2 linked regions of the Drosophila melanogaster genome follow. The protein of the gene in region 2 interacts with the protein of the main gene of each other region in a pairwise test. Each region holds a gene or a part of one and is shown on either strand. Other genes may lie near its edges. The genes, in order: CG6688 and CG13186.

Region 1 (11,860 bases), on a different chromosome or scaffold from region 2:
ACCGCCCAACGCGCAGCACGCGTGGCAAGCGGCAACAATTCGACAATTATGTGGCATTTCCACTGCTGCCCCTTGCTGTTCGTTTTTATTTTAATTAAAAAGTCAACCGCCAGGATGCAAAAAGCGAACAGGTTCGCGGATTCCCACACCTGCAGGCCAAGCCAAAAACAAAAACCAAAAAAAAAAAAAGTATAAGCCACCCATTCCATGTGTTAGAATTTTTGATATTTATGGGCAGTGGCCACTGGTCGGTGCAAAGTTACACCCCGATAAGCATCTGCACCACCCGGCGGCACCAAGGGGCACCAAGAGGAGTCGGAAGGCGCCCCAAAAACCACCGCCCACTGCTGCTGTTGTGGCTGAGATTTTGCAGATTTTCGGTGCGTTGCGACGGTTTGGTTCGCAATTATGCAAATCGAAAGATCGCCACACAGCGATATCCTAAAATTCCATGCATTTACAATTTTCTAATCAATGGAATTATAATTTTAATTTCCAAGGCTACCCGCCGTGGGCGATGTATCTTTTTTTTTTTTTTTTTTGTTCGTTATTATTATTTGCCACGCAAATTGTTTCAATTGCTGCCTTTCGGGGTCTGGGTTTTTCGATTTAAGAGAGCCGAACCGGATGTTTCAATTAATTCAATCGCAGTGTGAAATGTGTCATTCACATGTCGCCCATTGAGTCGCTTTGTTGCCTATTTACAGGCGCCGTGAATGCGAATGTGAATGCAATTCATATTCATATTCATTTTAATTTAATCAGGCTCTTGCGACGTCGCTCAACCGTAATTAAGTTTCTTGTGCCGGGGCCAGAAGCTTCGCCAGCGTGTGAAAAATAAAAAATATGCCACATTAATACGGGCGAAAAATTGAATAAATCAAATAGATACGCGAACCATACTTTACAGTGGCCCCGAAACGGCGACTAATGCAATAAAAGATGGCCGCAGCACGTTTTTTAATATTTAATTAAATAAATAATTCCCATTTGCCGTTTGCCAGTTGCCGTTTCAAATATTCGAACGCACGAATTTAAATATGGAAATACTTTGCACGCAGCCGCTTGCATTTCCCATTTACCATTTACCATTTTGCATTTCGTTGCATTTCCGGTGGGCGACTCGTCAAACTTTTCTGCCCGAGATGCACGCACACACACACACACGCATGCGAGGCTCTTTTGGCCAAAAAGTTTTCCCTCGGAGTAATTAGAAGACTTAGTCCCCTGCCAGGCGGTCTTTGGCTGACTGCTTAAAATGCTCTTTTGGCGTTAAATTTATGACAACCGCACATGTTGTTTGCCAGCTAGAAACAATAACAATAACAGCCCGCCCAGAGGCGTGCAACAGCAAAGGCCAAAGGGGTAGGGGGTGGCAAATAGGGTCTAAAGGGAACGGGCGGGGCAGATCGCTGAGGGGAACGGGGCAGAATGCTCGTTAGAAAGTTTCTAAGGTTGCGGCCGCACACGAAACAGCTGCGCCGCCAAAAGGGAAGAAGGATTCTCCAAATTGTTGCACGCTTTCCTTTGCTTTGGGGCGGTCACATTGTTGCTAAGCTATATACACACTTTCTACCGTCGGTCTCTGTTGCCGGCTGATAAGCTACACTGGGCGAAAATGAGCACATCTTGTGCAGGGTGATAGTTTTGAGCCTTACCTAAATATCGTAACATCTACAAGTCCTGCGCTCTATAAATCCTGATAATTAAGTTAATTGAAGTTTTCTTTTTTTCAAGTGCACTTTGAATACCCATACTCATACGCCGTGTGGTGCACTGACGTGACCTCCACTTGTGCGGCAAGTGCTCGAGTGGGCGTGGCAGCGAAATTTGCGCTTCAAAGTGAATTTATTGTTTTTACCATTACCACTTAGCCGGGCCCGAAACTTGCCCAAAGAGCCGTTTATTTTGATGCAGAACCAGAACTTAAACAGCCAAGGATGCAAATTGAAAGGCGATGGAGAAGCGATGCTTTAAGAGCTGAAACCCTGTGTTTACCCAAGGTAAATTGCACTCGATAATGAGTGCTTCACATTAATTAAATAACCAATAGATCGGTCTGGGTTTCCCATTGCAAATTATGCCGGGAGGGTGGGAAAATGGGGTGGGGAAATGGGTAGTGGGGGACAAATTGGAAGGACAAGCGCACTTGTCGCGGTTTTCGCAGCGATTTCTTTTACCCGCGACAGCGAAATTAATTGCATTGCTGCGCTGCGAGATTCACGTGGAGGAGCACTTGTTACGGTTGCCATTAGCGGTGCCATCATCATCGACCCTCGAAATCGCTGTAATTTCCAATAGATAATGAAATGCAATTAGAAAATGTGAGGGGTCTGAGCCTGTGGGCCACAAGACTGGCGGCAGAATGCAACAATAACAGCAATTTAAACAGGTTTTCCACGGGCGGACGCGCATCAGAGTGCATAATGGCGCATAGAAGTTTGTAATTAAAGTTTGCCGACTCTGCCAGGTGGCGACACCACGGGATACGGCCGTTTATTCCGGTCATTCCTACTAATCCGCACCCACAATACTGCACCGCCATCAGAAGTGGCAGCATCAGCAGGAGCAGCAGCAAATCAATTTCTGCATTGCACTAGCTGGACTGGACGCGGATCTGGACTACCGTCTATGGTCTCCGGCTTGGACTTGGTCGGCGCCCTGGCTTTTGTTCGGCACATCAACAAAGCAGAAAATAAAATTCAATTAACGCGCTTAAATTAAACTGCCACTTCCTGTTTTGATGACATTTTCATGGCAGCCTCGCTCCGGCGAAGAAGCAGCGGGAGGCCATTCTGCAGCGATAGGAAGAATGCGGTTTGGAGTAACTGAAGCCTGTTGCTGGCGTTGCTCGCTCCTCCATTGATGCGGTTCGTCCGGCATCAATATTAAATGGTAAACGGCCGGCATAATGGCTGTCCAACTGCGGCTGTCATTATGGGGCCATCAGGAACCACCAGGACCAAGAAACCAGGGACTGGACAGGTTCCATGCCTGCTCCCGATGACAAATAAAGCTCATTACGCGCTTGTCCGGCATCCTTCACTTTGCCACTGATTGACCTGCATCTGCGCGTGGCGTCGCCGTCAGCAGTCATAAGTTGCACTGCACTGCGAGAAATGTTTGTACTTTGTGCCCTTGAGTATGCAGTGGGAAAAGGATTTTAGAATGAACAAGTACTCAAATAATGTTGCATATTCTATTGATCATTTGCACAAAGTCCAATTGACTTAAAATATTTTTATTCCTCTTGCGACGCTCCCTGAATGCAGTCCATCCGGACTTCATTATCGAGCTGACCAACTCGGACGCCAAATGACACAAAGTCATTGGAGCGTTCAGGAGTGATTCAATTAGAACTCAACTTGGCCAAGTTGAACTCTTCGCTGCAGTTAGCTGGACCAACTTCTTTGCATCTCCAGCGTGGGCCTTTGTCCCGGCCTGACACCCATACAATTCCTTTGGCCGGGTTCGTTTCTTTGCGCGATAAGCAACTTTGGCCAAGCAACTGGCATTTAATTTAATTAGAAAGGAAAACAGCAAGAGGGGCGGGGGGCGAATTGGGGACGCGCCTGATAAGAGGATGCTGTTGATTGAGATGCCCGAGCTCAAAGCAGACGGAAAGCGGATTTGTAGCAGCAGTTCTGGTGGAGGTCCTTTGCAGGATCCTGTGGATCCTGCAGCTTGCAGGGACAGCGGTACAACAGCGAGGCCGGCTTAGTTTGGACAACCTGCTGGGGCAAATCTTGGCTTGGAGTGACAGGAGGTATGCGAACGGGTTGCAATCCGGAAGATTCATTGATGCCCGGGCTAACGGAGGCTGGTAGCGGAGGGCCATGCAAGGATGTGGCAGAGATGTGGCTGCTGTTCGTTCCGGATTCCTCGTCAACGCCCTCGGCATTCGGCTTAACTCCTTCCTGCTGTAAATCATTCGTCGAGAGTGAAGGATGCGCCGCATTCGCGTCAAGCGTGGCATGCATTGTTGTCCTTTCGGGGGGCGTGGCTGTCACTGGCGATGTTCTGGCCGGGATTTCACTGGAGTCGCCAGCGACGTCCGTGGTATTAGTCCGCAGCAGAGTAGCGGCATTCGAGGGACTGAGGTTATCCGTCGAGTAGGCGCAGCCCTCAAGCAACTTGGTTAGGAACTTGTTCGTTGGCAGCACTGGCCTGCGCTTTCGCCAGGTGTCCTGTCCGGTTATCCTGTCCTGTCGGCCCACGACTGGCCGTGTTATCCCGGCAAAGAGCTTCTGCCGCAGCTTGTTCTCCGAGCGGCACATCTCGAAGGCGTTGGCAATGGTCAGGAAAATTTGCTCCGCCAACAGCGCTCGGCGGGGAGTGTAGAAGTCCCGGCAGACAGGACATCGCTCCGAGCGGATGCGACAGTCCACGCAGAGCAGGTGTCCGTTTTGGCACTGCATCGCCGGCGGTGAGATGGTCACCCCGCAGACAGGACACTCGACGAGGCGCAGGATGCTCTCCAGGACGAGGGACAGGCGGCGCAAACTGGTGGGCATGGGGGCGCAGCAGATGCTCTATGGATTTTTGAAAAAAATATTGTGTTAGCGCGATTTTAATGGGGAACGGATAACTGAGTGTGTTTGATGGTTTAAAGAAGGATTTCAGGACTGCAATGAAAATACTCACATTAGTATCACAGTCCTTATCACATTCACTGTTCCAACAGAGAATTGTGACGCAGTCCTTTTGACTCTTCACCATTTTGGCGATTTCAGACACTCTCAAGCCTAAAACATCGTTGCCATTTACCTGGAAATAAAATATTATAGAATTTTATAGAAAATGTCTGGAAATGTTGTTTATTTATTTTAGGAAATAAGTGCCATACAGAAAGCAAGTACCAAGTATCTAAATATTTGGATTTCCACGAGCTACCAAAGAAAACAAATGAATACCACAAAATATGGCCAACACAATTACAAATTCGAAAGCACTGCTTGCGGCTGTATCGCACGCACTGCTTGCGGATGTTAACCTTAGCTAGCACTGTTAACTCAATTGGCTGTTATCTGTTATCTGATAACTGATATTTGCTTTGAATATTTACTTCGTGCTAATTAATCTTTGTCATCAACTAGTTGTTTTACTACGTTCGAGTTGTGTCATTAGTTTTAGGGCGGGCTGTGCATTCACCAGCTGTTTCTAGTTCCCCACTCCACATCCAATAAAGTTTCTAAATAAAGTCGATGCCGAGCAATTAAGTTTTACTGCATTGCTATTTTAAGTAAACAATATCCACGAAGAACAACAAATGCGGCTACAATAGCGGCTGCAAAGTCCAGACTTGGATATATGTACGGTCCAACTTCCATAGCTCAAGCTATTCGTAATTTAAAAGACCATAGCGATTTGAATTTGTTTCTAGAAGTGCAAATCATCATATTGGAATGCTTTCCTGAATAGTACTTTTTATCTTAACTTACGATTCACACAAATTTGTAGAACTTATTGACTTGAAAACTCGCAAGTATACATAATTAGCTTTACAACAAAAACTACATTATTTTTCTAGCTGTTAGCTAACAAAAGGAACTTTTTTCTGATTATAAATATATTATAATTTTAATGGGTTCCTCAAACTCTGTTTTCTTCTATCCTAAGTGGAATGCACATAGTTGGGAACCTGAGTAGCAGTCTCAATAAGCTCTTAATAGGTTTACAAAGTAAATCCCCGCGTCGATCTATTGCATTCTTAATTTTGTAACTGGAGTTCAGGCGCAGATTGAGTTACCAATGCAGTTTAGTTACCAATGCAGTTGGTCTGCGCTGTGCATAATCCGCCAGTCCATTGCTGGCTGAGAGCTGAAAGAACTGACAACGGTGGCACCAACCTGTGGCACTAACTTCTACTCACCTCCAGAACGCAATCGCCGGGTTTCAGGCCGCAGAGAGCGGCAGGTGTGCCGGCTGCCACTTCGCAAACCTGTCGGTGTAATGGGTATATGGTAATTAGGAGGGGACGGGATCTCCAAACGATGGCCACTTTTATTACCCAGGGATAGGGATCCCATTTGCTGCGGGTCAGCTGAAATCCGTAGTTCTCCATCGCAGGTGCGGCTCTGGGAATTCTCAGTAGTCGCACGGAGGAGCCATCGCCATGCTGCCCATCTTCATTGGATGTGGAATGAAATCCTCCCGCTGATTTCCTCATTTTCGGGCTAGAAAACTCGCACAGGTGCTCGGATCGTTGTGGGCCAAAATAAAAAGCGGCTAGCGAGAGACGTGTTCAACGTGCGCTCTCAGTTGGCAAACTGTTTTTCGTCTGTCTGTTGATTTTTTTTCGAGCCAGCTGGCTGGCTGGTGTATGTGGCTGGCTGGCTGGCTGGCTGGCTGAAAAGTTGCCGAGCGGCGAGCAGTGAACATGGAGCGCTTTGGGCCGACGCAATCGGCTACGACAAACATTTTGGCCAAGCTCCCCAGCATCACACATTTAACCCCTTCCACAACTTAATGACTTTGGGCCATCTGACGCGGTGTTGTAAGTGCTCGGCGCCAAAATGTGGCTGCGGTTCAAGATCCGAGATTCGGAATTCGAGATCGGAGATCTGAGATCTGAGTTCCGAGATCCAAAGCTGACACCCAGCTGAGATCATGGAAATGAGACTTGTGGAGCTAAGTAAATATTTGAACTTTCGGGCTGGCAGCGGTTTTTGGGTGCGCTATAAAGTTGCATGTCTACGTATTGTGACACCTTCAAATATACCGAATAAATAAACAAATTCTTCAGCGATTAAGTCATTTGATAACCTGGTAAATTAGTTGGTTCGAATGTGCAGGCTGCTACAATTGTGCGGAAGTGAAATCGAGAACATGGCCAAATACAATAGTTTTCATAGAAACCTTCGGCTATTTCTCTTCGCTTTTCATGGAAACCTTCTGCTATTTCTCTTAAATTGAAAACAATAAAGCTGCGCTTATCACTTATACCATGTTTTGTTACTAGAGATTAAAACTATTAAGGTAAATATAGCAAAACAGCCCAAACAAATATAAATAGCCAAAATAAACTGAACAAGACCTGCAAATTAAGTGTTAAATTGTATATTTATACAGTTTGGTTACGGTTTTGGCACAAATCGTAATCAGATAAAATCGCTATTAGCAGTAATGCACACGAAACTTAATCAGTTTAATTCCCATTTGTTGACTTTAAAAGTTTTCCGACTTTGTAATTAAATTTGAAAATAAACAGCACTATTTTTCGGCTTAATTGCGTGTTGGCAGTGTCAAATGGCCAGTGCATTTGCGATTGAGTGGCCAGCAAGTAAACCAAAATATTATTATTCGAAATGCCAAAAGAAATTAAAACAACAACGACGAGTGTGTTGGCACCGCACTAGGGTGTCAAACGGCGATAAACATAAACAATGGGGCCCTAAATAAATAATTGGGTCTAAAACCGGCTCGTCGATTAACCCTAACAATGATAACTGATGGAAATTGGCAGCTGACAAATGGATTTGGTTTGGCATGGCCAAACCATCGACATCCATTTGACTTTCGCTTTTTTGTTGTTTTGTTATCGCCGGTTTAACTGCCATTGAGGCGGTAATTTGAGTTTGGCGCTGCTCTGGTCGTCTAAAACATTGGCCAAATAGCATTGAAATTGGTAATTTCATTTAAATTTGCGCCCAGCAAAACTGACCCTGGGCGGCATTGTGGTGCGTGGTGTGTGTGTGTGTAATTTGTTTTTGGCTTTTCAATTTGCCAGTTCAATTAGATTTGGCCAAATTTATGTGGCACGCAGAAGCGTTCGGCAGCCAAAAGCCGTCAGCAGTGTCAAAATTAGAGAATACTTACCCAGGCAATAACATCGAAATTCATGTTTCTCGGAAAGCCATCCACCTGAAAGGTAATTGACTTTTATTAATCGGCCAGCAATTAGGCCGGGCCCAAAGGCAAATGGCCAAATTCAAGTGCAATTCCGCCTCTTCACACTATTGGCTCTCGACTTGTTTGTGGCCAGTAGATGCGGTTTCCAAAAAACAAAATAAAACGATGAAAAGCTCGCTGAAGCCAAGTGCAAAGCTCTGCCCACAGGTGGCGCTCGCTTTAAGCCAAGTTAGTAGGTCTGCTGGTCAGCTGTGAAGAAGTCGAGCCTCAGTTTCTTCGCAACTCGCATTCGGTTAAGTGAGCATGCGCCGCAAGTTCCGCTGGAAAACGCGAAGTGCGAAGCGCCGGCGCCGAAATAAAGTGATTACGATACGATCACAAAGATATCGAAAATCATCTAGCGTGGCCGAGAGTTGTGAAAATTGATTAACCAGCTGGCTAACAGAAACGGTGGAAAAAAAAACGGTGTGTAATTGCTAACAAAGCATGGAAGGGCTAATGGCCCAAATGACCTTACGCTCACCGCACCAACTTCCAAGCCAAGTTAGTAAGCGTTGGCTTAGGTCAAGGTCCGGCTAAGAGCCCAGATGCCCAACACTAAAAGCGAGAATAAAAACGCGGAAGTGTAACGCACAATTATAAACGCATTTGCTGGATACTCGCATAATTAAAAGCGGCAAACAAGTTTGCTTCCATTTCCTTCTACCTCCAAAGCAAACAAACGGGTCTAAATTGAATTAGAAACAGCGCATAAATCATATATGTACGTACTCGTACGCAATGCTTGCGCAAACACTGTGCGAAAAAAGGGGGGGGGTTCAAAAAGAAGAGACTACAATCACGTTCAAATCGAAATTTACACGGCAGTCGCACAGTTCGCTAATTGTAGAGCTGCTGCAGCGCCAATGGCGCATGCGCAACGTTTTTTTTTTTAGCCCGCTTTGGGGTTTCTGGGTCTCTGTCTCTGGGGCTTTTTTATTTATGTGTTTATTTCGTTTTTTTTTCGCTTGCGGTTTCTTTCGTGTAATTGTGACGCAATTTTCGTGCGAGTTTGTTTTAGTCTCGCCTCGCCAGTTTTGCCACTGACTCAATATACACTGAAAACGAAAGCGGCCACCACCAAGACGTGTGACTCAAGTCGAGCTGCAACTTGTGTGCTATGTGCACTGCACCGCCTTCGGCCGATTCAGTTGCAATTCACACGCGTTTGAGCCAAGTTCGCTTCCTACTAAGCTAAAGATTCATAGCGTTAACTTTACGGTATAAACATGCCTGTGGGCAATTAAATTTGGACCTTAATTGGAGCGTTACCAGTGGCAGTCATCCTGCATTTTGGGGTTTGCGTAATTGTTTGCCAGCCAAGCGATGCGCTTCATTGGTTTAGTGCTTTTGAAGATTCTTTTTTATCTTTTTTTTGTGGGTGCAGCTTTAACTAATTCGTGCGGTTTGATAATTAAATCGAAATCTTGATTGCCCTTACAAGGGACAGCAGCACATCGTTGGCTGATGGCCAGCTTATTGTTCAATGATTACCTTAACTATTGCTGTGCCCACTTCAATAAGCCGACGTCATAGCGATTTCATGGCCAATGTCAGTAGAAGTGAAGTGAAGTGATTTGAACAAGTTTGCCATACTCGCACTCGAACTCATAGTCGTACTCAAACTCACATCTGTATCCGCGTGCGTAGACAGCCAAGGAGGAAGCTATAAATTCTCAGTCTACTCAATGTTCTCGAGTGCAAGAAACATAATCAATTTCGCAGTGAGAATCTTTTAAACTGACAGCCAAGCGAATCTGATGACTTCGATATCGATTTGTGACTAAGCTAAAGAATTCCAGTTGGTAGAACAGCTAATACCATACATATACAGTATATATGTACATATATATATATGAGTTCCGGCTTGGCTTTGTTGCTTAATTGATTTTCCTTGGTGCTAAAAAGTTTGAAAGAAACCCTTTCTATTTTGGTTTTTGTTTTTTATTTGACTGGGCTCCGCAAAACTTTTGATTTATGTGCGCAAATTTTACGCCTGGCGAACGTGGCGTATGCGTAATTACGACCACTTGGCACCGAAACTTTCTGGCTAATTAATTGGGTTTCGTCTCGAAGCTGCCGAAAGGTGAAGGAATCGCCCGTCGAAAGGTGCAAATGAGTCCAAGTGTTGGAACTAGAAATCAGAGGACTCCGGTCTCCGGCCTCCGGTTGCCCCAATCACACACACTCGGGGGCATAATAAATGCGAGTGTGTACGTGATGGGCATGTCAACTAGTGTTGGGGCATCTTGGCCCTCTGACAAACGAAGTAAAACAGTTTGGCAACATTTTTCAAAGCTCTCCTCGCCTAGGTGTTGTTTATATATGTATGTGTTGTTAGCCCAGGTAATTAGATGAGCGCGGCGAGGGAGTGTGAGTGTGTGCGTCTCCGGTGTTGAAAATTGGCCAAATTTATGAGCGACCTTGTGGCTTGAGTGTCTGTTTTGATTTGAACCCACTTTCTGTTACAGCCAATATGCTTCAGTTGTGCACCATCTACGCCTGCGCGAACGGCACATTGGGACTGAATTTGAGCCGTGCCCCCTGGGATCCGTATCCTTGGGTTAGCGGGGTGCAGGCCAAGTCGAGTGCGGAAAGGGGCGGAGTTCGTTTGGGCGACACCCTGCTGGAGCTGAATGGAGCCGATGTCCTGGGGCTAAAAATCAGTGAGTTGGCCAATCGGTTGCAGGATCACTGGCAGAGCGGCGCCGAGGTCGTGACCCTGATGATGTGGCGCCAGCAGGCGAACATCGACCCCAATGAGGATCCTGCCGAGGCATCACATGCTGTGGTAAGTAGTCGCCACTTGTGCTCCATATTGTTGGCCTAATTGGGCCAAGATGAGCGGAGGAGTGTGTTGCTTATATGGGCCATTGTCTTGCATCAGTGCGCCGCTGAGCGTTACGTAATTCTGATTGGCTTAATGACTGCTACTGCTACTGCTAATTAGTAATTAGTATCTGCAGCTTGGTCCGCTTGCTTTGTGGGCCTACTGCAGTTTGGCGGGCGAAATAATAGAGCCCCATTCCAAGGTTACTGTGCACAGAGAAAAAACTGCAGACTAGCCTGCAACTAATAGTTCTGGCATAGCCACACGTAATTGTAATTGACTGGTCATCAAATGATACTAACTTAAGCTTAATTTCGTAAAGGGAAGCTTAGTTGCGTTAAGATGAGCCTTTACATAAGCTAAATCTAATTAATAAGTTTGTTTTTCTGTATTTCAAAGTGATTCGGTTCTCGAGGGTCATCTTGTGCAGCATTCATTGTTTTAAAATCAATTCAAATATTGCATTGTATGCACATCGCTGGCATTCACATAATGATTGTCAATAACAATATCAAGCCTTAAAGCCACACCGCAGGACCTTCGATTTATCAAAAGTTTCTCAATTAAAAAGTCAACGAATGACCTAGTCTTTTATTTGAAGCTCGAATGTATAGGTAAACTGGAAGCCCGAGGTAATCCTTGAGGTGTTCAGCCGTGCGGATGTCCTGGCGGCATCGGTGTAGTTGTAAATTGTTTATCTGCCAACCGAGAAGCTGTTTACTTTATTAAATGCAATTGAATCGAAATAACGCAATTTCGTTCTTGACACATTATGTGTACTTTATTACAATTCAATTGACCTAAATGTCCTCGCCGGTGATAGTCCAAATTTAAGGCCAGCCAGGACATTCGCACACACACCTAACATAGAATACACACACACACACATACGTGCAGCTACACAGGTGGTTGGCATGGAAAGTCCATTTCAATCAATGCCGAAGGCATTGAATCACAAAATGTGTGCCAGATTGACCCGTTAAACAGATTAAACTTGCAACCGCACTAGGCCATAGGACATTATGCGTCCTTCGTATGCAGGCAGGCCTCACGATTTTGATAATCGAATGCAAAACTGAATGGAAATCGGCTTAAATCAAAAGCCTTTCATTCGCACCGGACCGTGAATTATTAACGACC
Region 2 (9,568 bases):
TGGACGCACACAGGGAGCACCGTTCCCAATCCCAGACATCAGGAATGGCCAGTTTTAAATGGAATCAAAAGAGTATTTTCGAGCTATAAACATAAGTAGTCACAAGTACCTTAATGCAAATCGAGATGTTATCTATGTGGAGGAGAATTCGGCGAGTTGCGAGTACCGAGGGCCACGCCCACTCCGCCACAAGGACATACATTCCCTAATACATGCACACAATCAAGGCTTAAAAGCAATCCGTCCTCAATTGACACTTTTGAGCGGAATTTCCACACAAAACACTCAAGCAGGCCGAAGAGTTCGACTCTAACGTTTACATTAGGTCTAAACTATCTGTACACTCGCCTCCCGATCCCCGCCCCCGACCACGCCCCCACTCCCCCATTCCATGCACCCACATGCACACACACATGCACGCACGCTCACACACTCACACACACACACCGACAAGCAAATGCACTTAAATTGTAAATGTTGTGATTATATAGCACCGCCTCAAAGTATGCACCAAATTTTTGTAAAATGTATTTTTGCACTATTTTTAAATGCACAGCGAACAGCAGCCCAGTTGAAACTAAATTTAAATGTAAACGTATTTTACCTAAATTAGTTGATAAACATTGAATAAAACATAACTAACCGCCTGGAGAGGGGTTTTTCCTGTAACGTTCTTATGTTAACTTAAACCAAAAGTCAAGAAAAGTCTGCGAAACATTTTTTTCAATCGATATGCAATGTAAATACAGAACAAAGAGGATTGCTATAGCGAAGTCTAAGTAATTTAGAGATTCTCACTATGTAAATAGACCAAAACTGAACAAAAACCGAAGCTAACAGGACGAACAAGACATCACAGAAGCAGAAACGAACCGAAACGTACCGAACAGGACAAGGATGTAGAATGATGTAGGACGATGTAGGACGATGTAGGATGAGGCGACACAAAGAAGGACGTTTTTAACTTTAATTAGAAAGTGTTTTATGTATTATGTACGTACGAGTATGAGTATGGTAGCCCACACAGGAAGTCCTACTAATAATTTCTAAGCCATTTAACTTGTAAATTATTATGGTTATAAATGTATAATGTAAATGAAAGCGAGTCGGATGTGGAATATACATACATATATAGATGCGGGAGAATGACAACTGCGAAACTCCAGGCAAGAACTACCAGCTATATACATACATAGATGTGTACATGTACATCTGTGTGTTTATGGTTATAAATGATACCTACTTCAGTTTGCCTACGATTCTATAAATACACACATACACATACATATAGAGGTACATAGCAGCAGATATATATATATATATGTATCTCCAGCTGGTGAACCAAAAACTGGATTCGAGTTCAAGCAAAAAACGCCCTAAAACAAATAGAAACCGAACGAAACAAAAAAAAAACGATACCATTATTATTATTGAAATTTAATTATATGCGTTTGCGGCATAAGGAACAAATGTATTACCAACAAAATCTCTATATATACACAACAAACTAATTTATGAGATTATATATATACATATGACAGCAACAGAAGTATATGTAAAAATTAAATAAAAACGAAGCCTCAGTCAGTATAAAAAGTTCCATGTATTATTTGCACTCATTCGGAATTGGATGACCAATTGTGGCATTGGGAAAAACAATTTTATATCCAACATCAGGTGTATTCGCTTTGTGCATTTCGCATAATAATTTCATCTTACAGCAATTACGGATTCCTTGGCTATCATTATTTATAGAATGGGAAGTTTTCATGGCCAGCCTCTTGATTGCCCCAGCGAAATTTATTTGTACTTTTTTTTAATGGGCTTTCGTGGTCTTAATTAGCCCATTTGGATTTAATAAACAATTAAGTAGTCACATTGAATGTGCTTTTGGCTATGAAATTCTTATTATGCCAATTCAATTTAATTTACTACAAACTTAAAGGTCGAAATTCGCAGGACGCGTTTAAACAGTGTAAAATAATATTATTGTGGTGTGTCCTAGCTTTTTGATCCTCTGATTAAGCTTTCTAATGCCAGTTTAAGCCAGCGTAAACTTTTGGGAGTTTTGCGCAAATATTTTGCAGGTAAAGCGGGTGTCGTAAATTTTAATTAGCGTTAGCCGAAAACTAATTTCATGTTAATAACACAACAGCAACATTGTGGGCGGCCCCAAGGTCGTGGGCGTTCGAATTTGGTTGGTGGGCCGGATGGCCGGGATACGAATGCATCCGGGAGTTGGGAGCGCGGAACCCTATTTTGTGGCTGCCAATTTACGCTTAATTAGATGGTTGCTCGTCTCCATTCGGCCTCAAGGAATTATCATCATCTTCGGGGCCAGAAAGTGGGGAAGAACCGAACCTTTTATGGCCGCCACGCATGGAAATAAAATGCTGTTTGCCGGCGAAATAGGTTAAAGGTCAGGAGGGCAAAAAGGGGGCAAAGAGAAAAAAACATGATGTTGCCTGACCTTTCCTCCCATCCGCAGCTGCTTAATTAAGGTGTGACAAATGCAATCTGCAGGCCAGTTAGGCGTGCAATCAGCCAAAGGCCAATCCAGCTGGCGCATTAAAAGGGGATTTTACCCGGTTAACACACACACACACACTCAAACACACCATCTACCATCACACACACACACACGACCTTCGACTAGGCGCGATAAAACAAATGCAAAAGCCTAAAATGGCAGCATCTGGCATTTGCCATTTGCCCCATTCGCCTTCGCATCGCTGCTAAATAAATGGCCCTTAGATCCAGCTGCAATTTGTTGCAGCAAAGGGTAAGGGATATGCGATATGCGATATGGGATATGGGACATGGGATAGGTCACATGGGTTATGTGATATTGGATATAAAGATCAATAGATGGGATAACTGAAACGTGTCCGGAAATCGAAGGAGCTGTATGCCTCATCCAGCTGATTGCATTTCAAAAATAACACACAACACATTTCGGTTTGTTTGTGCCATTTCGCTGGCATTCGCCTGCGTGGATTATTTTTACATCAGGCCGTCAGTGGCTTGCATTGCCAAACTGCTTTTGGCCAACGGGCCAACGGGCCAACACCCACTTTTTGGCCGGGAATCGCACAATATCGCACACTCTAATGCAAAATGTTGCGGTCTGTTTGCATTAAAGCTCCCTTCGCACTGTGCCTTTTGGCAATCGTCCTGGCTTGTCCTTGGCGTGTGGTTTCCCCTTCGATATCCCGGTGACAGCTGACACATGCATCCACTTCCACCTCGAGCGAAGGAGGCTGCATGGTCCATGGCCGTTCTCTGGACTGGACATTAACCCATTTCTCCCCGAATAAGTCGTGACACGAAATACGAAGAACGAAAAACGCCTCGCTGACATTTCTTTGTGCCGGTCGCATAAAATCTGTTGAAATCATCGGAATGTCGCGGCAACATTTTCGTTTTCATTTTTATCTTTTTTACTTTTTGGTTATTTCTGGCTGCTGCCTCTGCCCGCCATTTTTTACAGCCATTATATTAATATTAATGACCTGCGCCACGAATGTTGCTAAATATTTTTGAAAGTCGCCTTTGTCTGCCGGTCAAGCGCTAAAAAACGCTCTGTAGTTTCTGGGCGAACATGACGTATGCGTGATATTCAAATTAGTCTTTGCACTGCGTTAGAATCGTGGCTGAAAGTCAGCCACCATAACCAGTCAATCAAAAAACCATCTGTAACCCAGACTAATTTGCATTTGCATCCGGACTCCGGAGCTGTGAAGCTCTGGAGCTCTGGAGCTCCGAACTGTGGAGCTGGGAAAACTCTGGTGAGAATCCACAGAGCCATAGTTTCGCATTTGCACACACGTAATCATCGAAAGGCAACCAAATCCTCTTGTTTTTCCACTGCAACTTTTCACGCTGCCTTTGTACTTTTAATGTTGGCAGAGTATTAGTATTAGTCCCAAGGGCCAAGCATGGAAGCACCCCTCTGGATTCCTGGTATTTGTTATTGTCATCGCTGTTGTTGGCCCACAATGTAATTTGGTTTGGACTTTCACGACTTGTTGGCTTCTTCCCCCTAGCCAGTTTGCAGTGGCAAATTTTCTGTTGCCCTCGGTCGATGGTTTTTCGGTTTACCAATTTATTTATTTCCAGCCACTTTCCTAGCTAGCTAGCTGCCCATTGTGTTGCTGGCACATTGCAATTTTCAAATACATCCGCAATGGATTTGGATGTGGATGTGTTTTCTGCTGCTCTTTTTGGAAATGTTACTCTAGGACTAGGGTTTGGATTAAAATCCAAAGGCGAACAGCAAATGAAAATACCATTTCTTGCACTTTATTTATGTAAAGCAACTAGGGCGTCATGCTGATTTGAAGGCAACATATAGATTGCACATTTATTGTATGCAAATGCAAGCTAAAAGCTTATAGGAAATTGATTTGCTCGTATAGTTTTCACTTTATAGTTTTAAGAGCATTTAAAAGCCGGCTAGCATGTGAGTGCCCTTTGTCTATTGTTTCAAATTCAGCTTTCAATTTAAATTGTTTGGATTACTCGTCCTCTATTGTGTACATTGAAAATGTATTTCGGGGTATTTGTTGTGTCAACACCAAGTGAACGAGATAGTAGCACCCACTACCAACTACACACCACATGTCCCGATTTAGTTGCCCTGATTTCTCAGCCAGACAATAGGACGCGTCGCTAATGTCCCCGTGCAGTAATAATAATATATATATACACATATATATCGTGTGGCTGCTAATGTGGCAGCATTGTATTGGGTTAATTATTCTGGTCGATTTAAGCATTTAACTTTTGAAAGGAGCTGTCAAAGTGTGATGTCAGTACGTCAGTCAACAATACCAGCAATATTACACACACAAAAGCCAAAGAAGAATCGCACTAATCGCCGAGCATTTTGTCCGCGTGGGTGGATGACGTCTTAAAGTTGCTCCAACAGGTCTCTGGCTGATTGTTTACTTTTCACGCCATGTATTAGCCATTGTTATGGTAAAGACTTTATAATAATTCAGACAACAAAGTGCGGCAAATGTTTACATGTCCTCTTTCTCCTCATCCCCGTCGTCAGCGTCCACGCCCACCGCCTTGTCGGGATAGAATTTCTTGAGTATCCTGTTCACATCGGGCACCAGTGCCTCGTAGTCCAGTGGGAACTTATCCCGACGCGGCGGTCCCTTCTCCAAGCCGGACCACAGCAGATGCTCCGAGGTGCGTGCATTTTGCGAGAACCCTATCTCGAAGGCTCCTTCCCGCGGAACCTGGCGTCCGTTTCGATTCTTCACCAGCTGGAACTTGCGCTCCGGTATCCGTTGCGTGAAGAATGTTCCGCACTCGTCGGCCTTGGTCTGGAAAATGGGACACTCGTACGTGTGCTCGATGTAGATCATGGAACGATCCTTGGAGAAATGCTCATCGGAGGACCAGTCCACGTCCTTTTTCTTTTTTGCCGGCTTCTTTGGTGGCATTGTGGTTTTTTTTTTAGATTACTTTCACAATTTCGAAGTGATTTTGTTAATAACCAAAACCCATTTTTATTTCGAATGTTGACAATCCTAGAATTCATAATTGCTTTGATTGATTGCTTTTTGGTTCACTTATGATTCTCTGGTACAAAAGTACTGTGAACCATAAATCTTCTTTCGTACATTTCAAAGTGCGCAACGATGTCCAGAATATTTTTGCTGCGCCTATTTTTAAAATGCATGACAATCCGAAAGAGTCAACAACTTTTGGTGGCACGCATACGAAAAGAATCGCTGTTCGTTTGTTAATTTGGCTACATTGACTGACAACGCAGCCGCCTTTGAAAAAATTACAAAAAACGATATTGTATAGATGCAGGGGAAAATGCTTCCATTGGCTGGGTAGCCACAATTTTGTTCATTATATATAGATTTTTGTTTTGTATATATGCAAAGCTCCAATATAGACGTCAATTTATGGCACTGTCTATATTCATGCAGAAAAGCTACTCAACAAATTCTATGCATAACAATAATATATTGTTGGACACAAAAACATGCATAAACAATGGGAGAAAACATAAAAATCGAGTATTTAAAGCAAGTAAATTATACGATGAGAGCATTTCGACGACTATCAGATATTCTTTACGGATTCCATTGAATGTAGGTTTATCACAAAATACGCTGATATTTATCATAAGCTGGAAGAAGATACCAATACCAAATCAATGGATTGTTTTCATAAAAAAATGAAGAATGAAATCGCAAACCCTATTATTTTCAAGTCTCTTAATAGTGTTTGAAGGACATCTAATTGAACTGATTTTAAGAGCAAACATAGTCTTCTTATATAATTTGTGCATTTTTAATTGGAATCATTTAAATTCTTATTTTGGAGCGTAAACATGATTGCAACACTCTTTTATTTGCTTGATTTTATTGGTTGCGGGATTGCGAGATTGCAAATGGTCATTTATTGCATTTTATTTCTCCATTTCTCGTGGCTGAAGCTGAATGATTTTTTACCTTCAGCTGCCCACACGTGGCCCGCATTTTCCTGATCCCCCCCAACCCCCTCTGACCCAGAGGGTCATGGTTTATTTATGCAATTTTCCAATTTTCCCAACATCGGCCCACAAATAAAACCGAAATGAAAGCATACAAAATGCAGCAAAGAGCTGGGAATTTAAAAAAATAAAAAACCAAAAATGTATATGAAAATGCAATTTGCAAATTAACAACAACGCAATTGTAAACAACAGTGACAATGACGTCACAGTGAAACATACAACAGAAATCTATTCGTTGTGGGGTTAAGAATGCAACTTTTGGCGTTTGCACACATACTAATTATGCGCATAAACTGTGTATTCAAAACTAGGGTCATTTTGAAGCAATATTCAAATGAGCCAAAAAGAATATTTCAACAAATGTATCTGCACACTCGGAGTTTTTTTTCTGCTGTTTTTCCGCTGTGGAAAAATAATCATCGATGCTGCGGCTTCAGTGGGGCAGCGCCAAGAGCAACAAATATTTAAATATATTTATTATTCTGAATAGGCGTGCCAGCGTGTGTATATGTATCCCACATACGCATGTCTGCACATACTTCAGATATATTTTTAAAAAATCAAAACGACAATTTGCTGCTTGCATCATTTTGAAATACAACAGAACTTGAACGTCGACGTCGACGTCGCCAGCGGCAGCGGCAGAGATCGTCGATCGGCGAGCGAAAATTTTCGGCAGCTGCAGGCAGCGCCACTCGATCGTACCGCTTAGTGCCACGCCGTGTCTCAGAGCGCCCAGGCCACGGGCCCCCAAACCGTACCGCTGCGGAAAATCGATCTTGAAAATATATACAATACAAAAAAAAATCTAAAACTCTAGCACCGGATATATTATAGTCTAAGACTACGAGAATTGCCCACTTCATTGGGAAAGTGCGTGAAAATCCGAACATTACCATCGACCATCTACACCATCATCAGCATCCGTCATGCAGGTCTTCGATAACAATATGGTAAGTGAAATCTAGCCTGCGGCAAAAAAGCCATTTGTGGCCATGTTTACGCAGGCCAAATTTATTGTCGCCACGTTTGTGTATACCTTATGGCACACTTAGCCCAGTTAGCTTAACCCAGAAATGCCAATACACAAACTCCAGTCTGGCATAACCACGCCCATTTTGGCCGCAGAAGAAAAGGATATCCTTTGGCGGCAACGAAGGAGCAGAAAGGCAGGAAGTCATGCGGTGTTCAGAACGGGCCGCCAAATTAATTACAAAAATTCACTTAATGGCCACGATCCAAGTGGGTCAACGTACGTGCGAGCCACTAGAAATTGAAAGATGCAAAATGCTAGATGCAAAATGCTAGATGTAAAATTTAAGTGTTCCGCCAGAGACTTGTCAAAATTCTACCGCCTGCCTGGGATTTTAAGTGCAACTTAAATGGATGTAGTAATGTTATAATGACTACATTATAATCAGATTTGCACAATAAAAGTCTTGACATTGAGGCAAACGATTATGAACATTCCACAAGGGATTGGATTTTTTCCAAACGAAATACACATCAAATACATTTTCATCATGAAAATACAGTGCGAGTATTTTTGCAATGCCAGAACTTTCCATTCCATTTGATTCGGCCGCATCATCTAAAAATAAATATCCATATCTTTATTAATAATAAAAATAAGCTTGGAGACATATACCGATTTCTTGGCAGCTGAGCGACCCCATTAAGTACATAAATCGTACATAAATACACATAAATATAGATATATCTGAACCGGCAGCAAGTGCATATATGTATATGTACATACATAGATCGGATCGAAATTGTCGCCCATATGTAGGCCACTTACAGAATGGCGGCATTAGTCACATATAATACTCACGTATCTGTGGCAAACTAAGTCCCAAAATTGGTGGCAAGGTCGCCGGATGACGAAAGCAATCCGAAATGACATGGTCGATTTCCTTTTAATATTCCAGACAGCACTAGGAGGTATAAATAGATCCGGCGATTTTACAAATCCGGCGAAGGAAAAATAGTCGAAGCAACCGAAATGGAATTGCTTTATTTTCAGGCCGAATAAATCAATTGGCTTCTGTATTTATGCAGATGCCACCATTTGATTATTTCGCACTGTCGTTGATTTATGGCCAATGGCCAAAAGGGGCTGCCAAGGGTGCCCTCTTGCCAGCCATTTTTCCCACACACACAACCGACCGATTTTCCAGTGGCTTTCCCACACTTTTTCGAGAGTATTGTGCACGTCATGTGTAATTGCTATACGTCAATGTCAATGTGTGGGTTAGCGTCTGATAAATGCAAGCATATGTATATGTTGGTGTAAGTGCTTGTGGTCGTTTCCGGATCCTGTGGCTGCAATTGGTTAGCTTTAATGAAATGCCCGATGATATATTGTTGGGCAAATATGTGCTCGACCATTTCATCAGCCATTGAATTCGAACATTGAGCAGAAGTATTATCGATTTCAACGAGCACCAAATCGGAAGTCCTGAGTCAATAAATTGTATGGATTGCAAATGGCAAAAGATTTTCATCAGCTTTTCTCGATTGGCGGGCAACAGATTGCCGCTCAGAGTTTTCCAGCGAATTCCCGACTAATCCAAATAAAACTTCACAGCTTCCCCGACAATTCCGGTAAACTCAGGACACCTGTCAAGCAGAAGAAAGCACTCAATGCAATTCTGGGAATATTTCCAATCGGATATCTTTGATTTTCCGCTATGGAAATAAAAACAATGAGTGCGTGCAATAATTTGCATATTCACCTTATTTATTGATCAAAACACAAACAAACGAGAGCTGCCACAATTGTTTAAATATTTCCCAAACAAACAAGGCGCAGCTATTTTGTCTGGCTATTTATAGAGCTGAAAACTGAAATGCTAAATGCGCTGCAATGAAATGAATAATTAAATTGGCATATATACCACCGTGATTAATATCTATCTATGTATCTATATATCTTTTATCCTTTAGCGCCGTGCCTCGCGACGCGCCTCCTTGCGACGAGGATCCATATCGGCACTGCCGCAGAAGTCGCACGAGATTCCCTGGGACATATTCGAGCGA

Evidence for each region.
Region 1: the proteins of CG13186 (region 2) and CG6688 interact in a two-hybrid assay, tested with the Drosophila melanogaster proteins (one large-scale study listed by BioGRID).

The regions. Positions count from the first base shown.
Region 1 is NT_033777.3:23,006,823-23,018,682, reverse strand, and holds CG6688 (uncharacterized protein), read right to left. Parts: upstream 6,272-11,860; 5' UTR 6,170-6,271; coding exon 6,011-6,169; intron 5,942-6,010; coding exon 5,873-5,941; intron 4,768-5,872; coding exon 4,645-4,767; intron 4,533-4,644; coding exon 3,609-4,532; 3' UTR 3,208-3,608; downstream 1-3,207. Other genes in the region: CG34375 (uncharacterized protein), read left to right, coding at 10,367-10,681.
Region 2 is NT_033778.4:12,077,206-12,086,773, reverse strand, and holds CG13186 (uncharacterized protein), read right to left. Parts: upstream 5,499-9,568; 5' UTR 5,457-5,498; coding exon 5,025-5,456; 3' UTR 4,717-5,024; downstream 1-4,716. Other genes in the region: CG8888 (uncharacterized protein), read left to right, coding at 7,456-7,479, 9,476-9,568.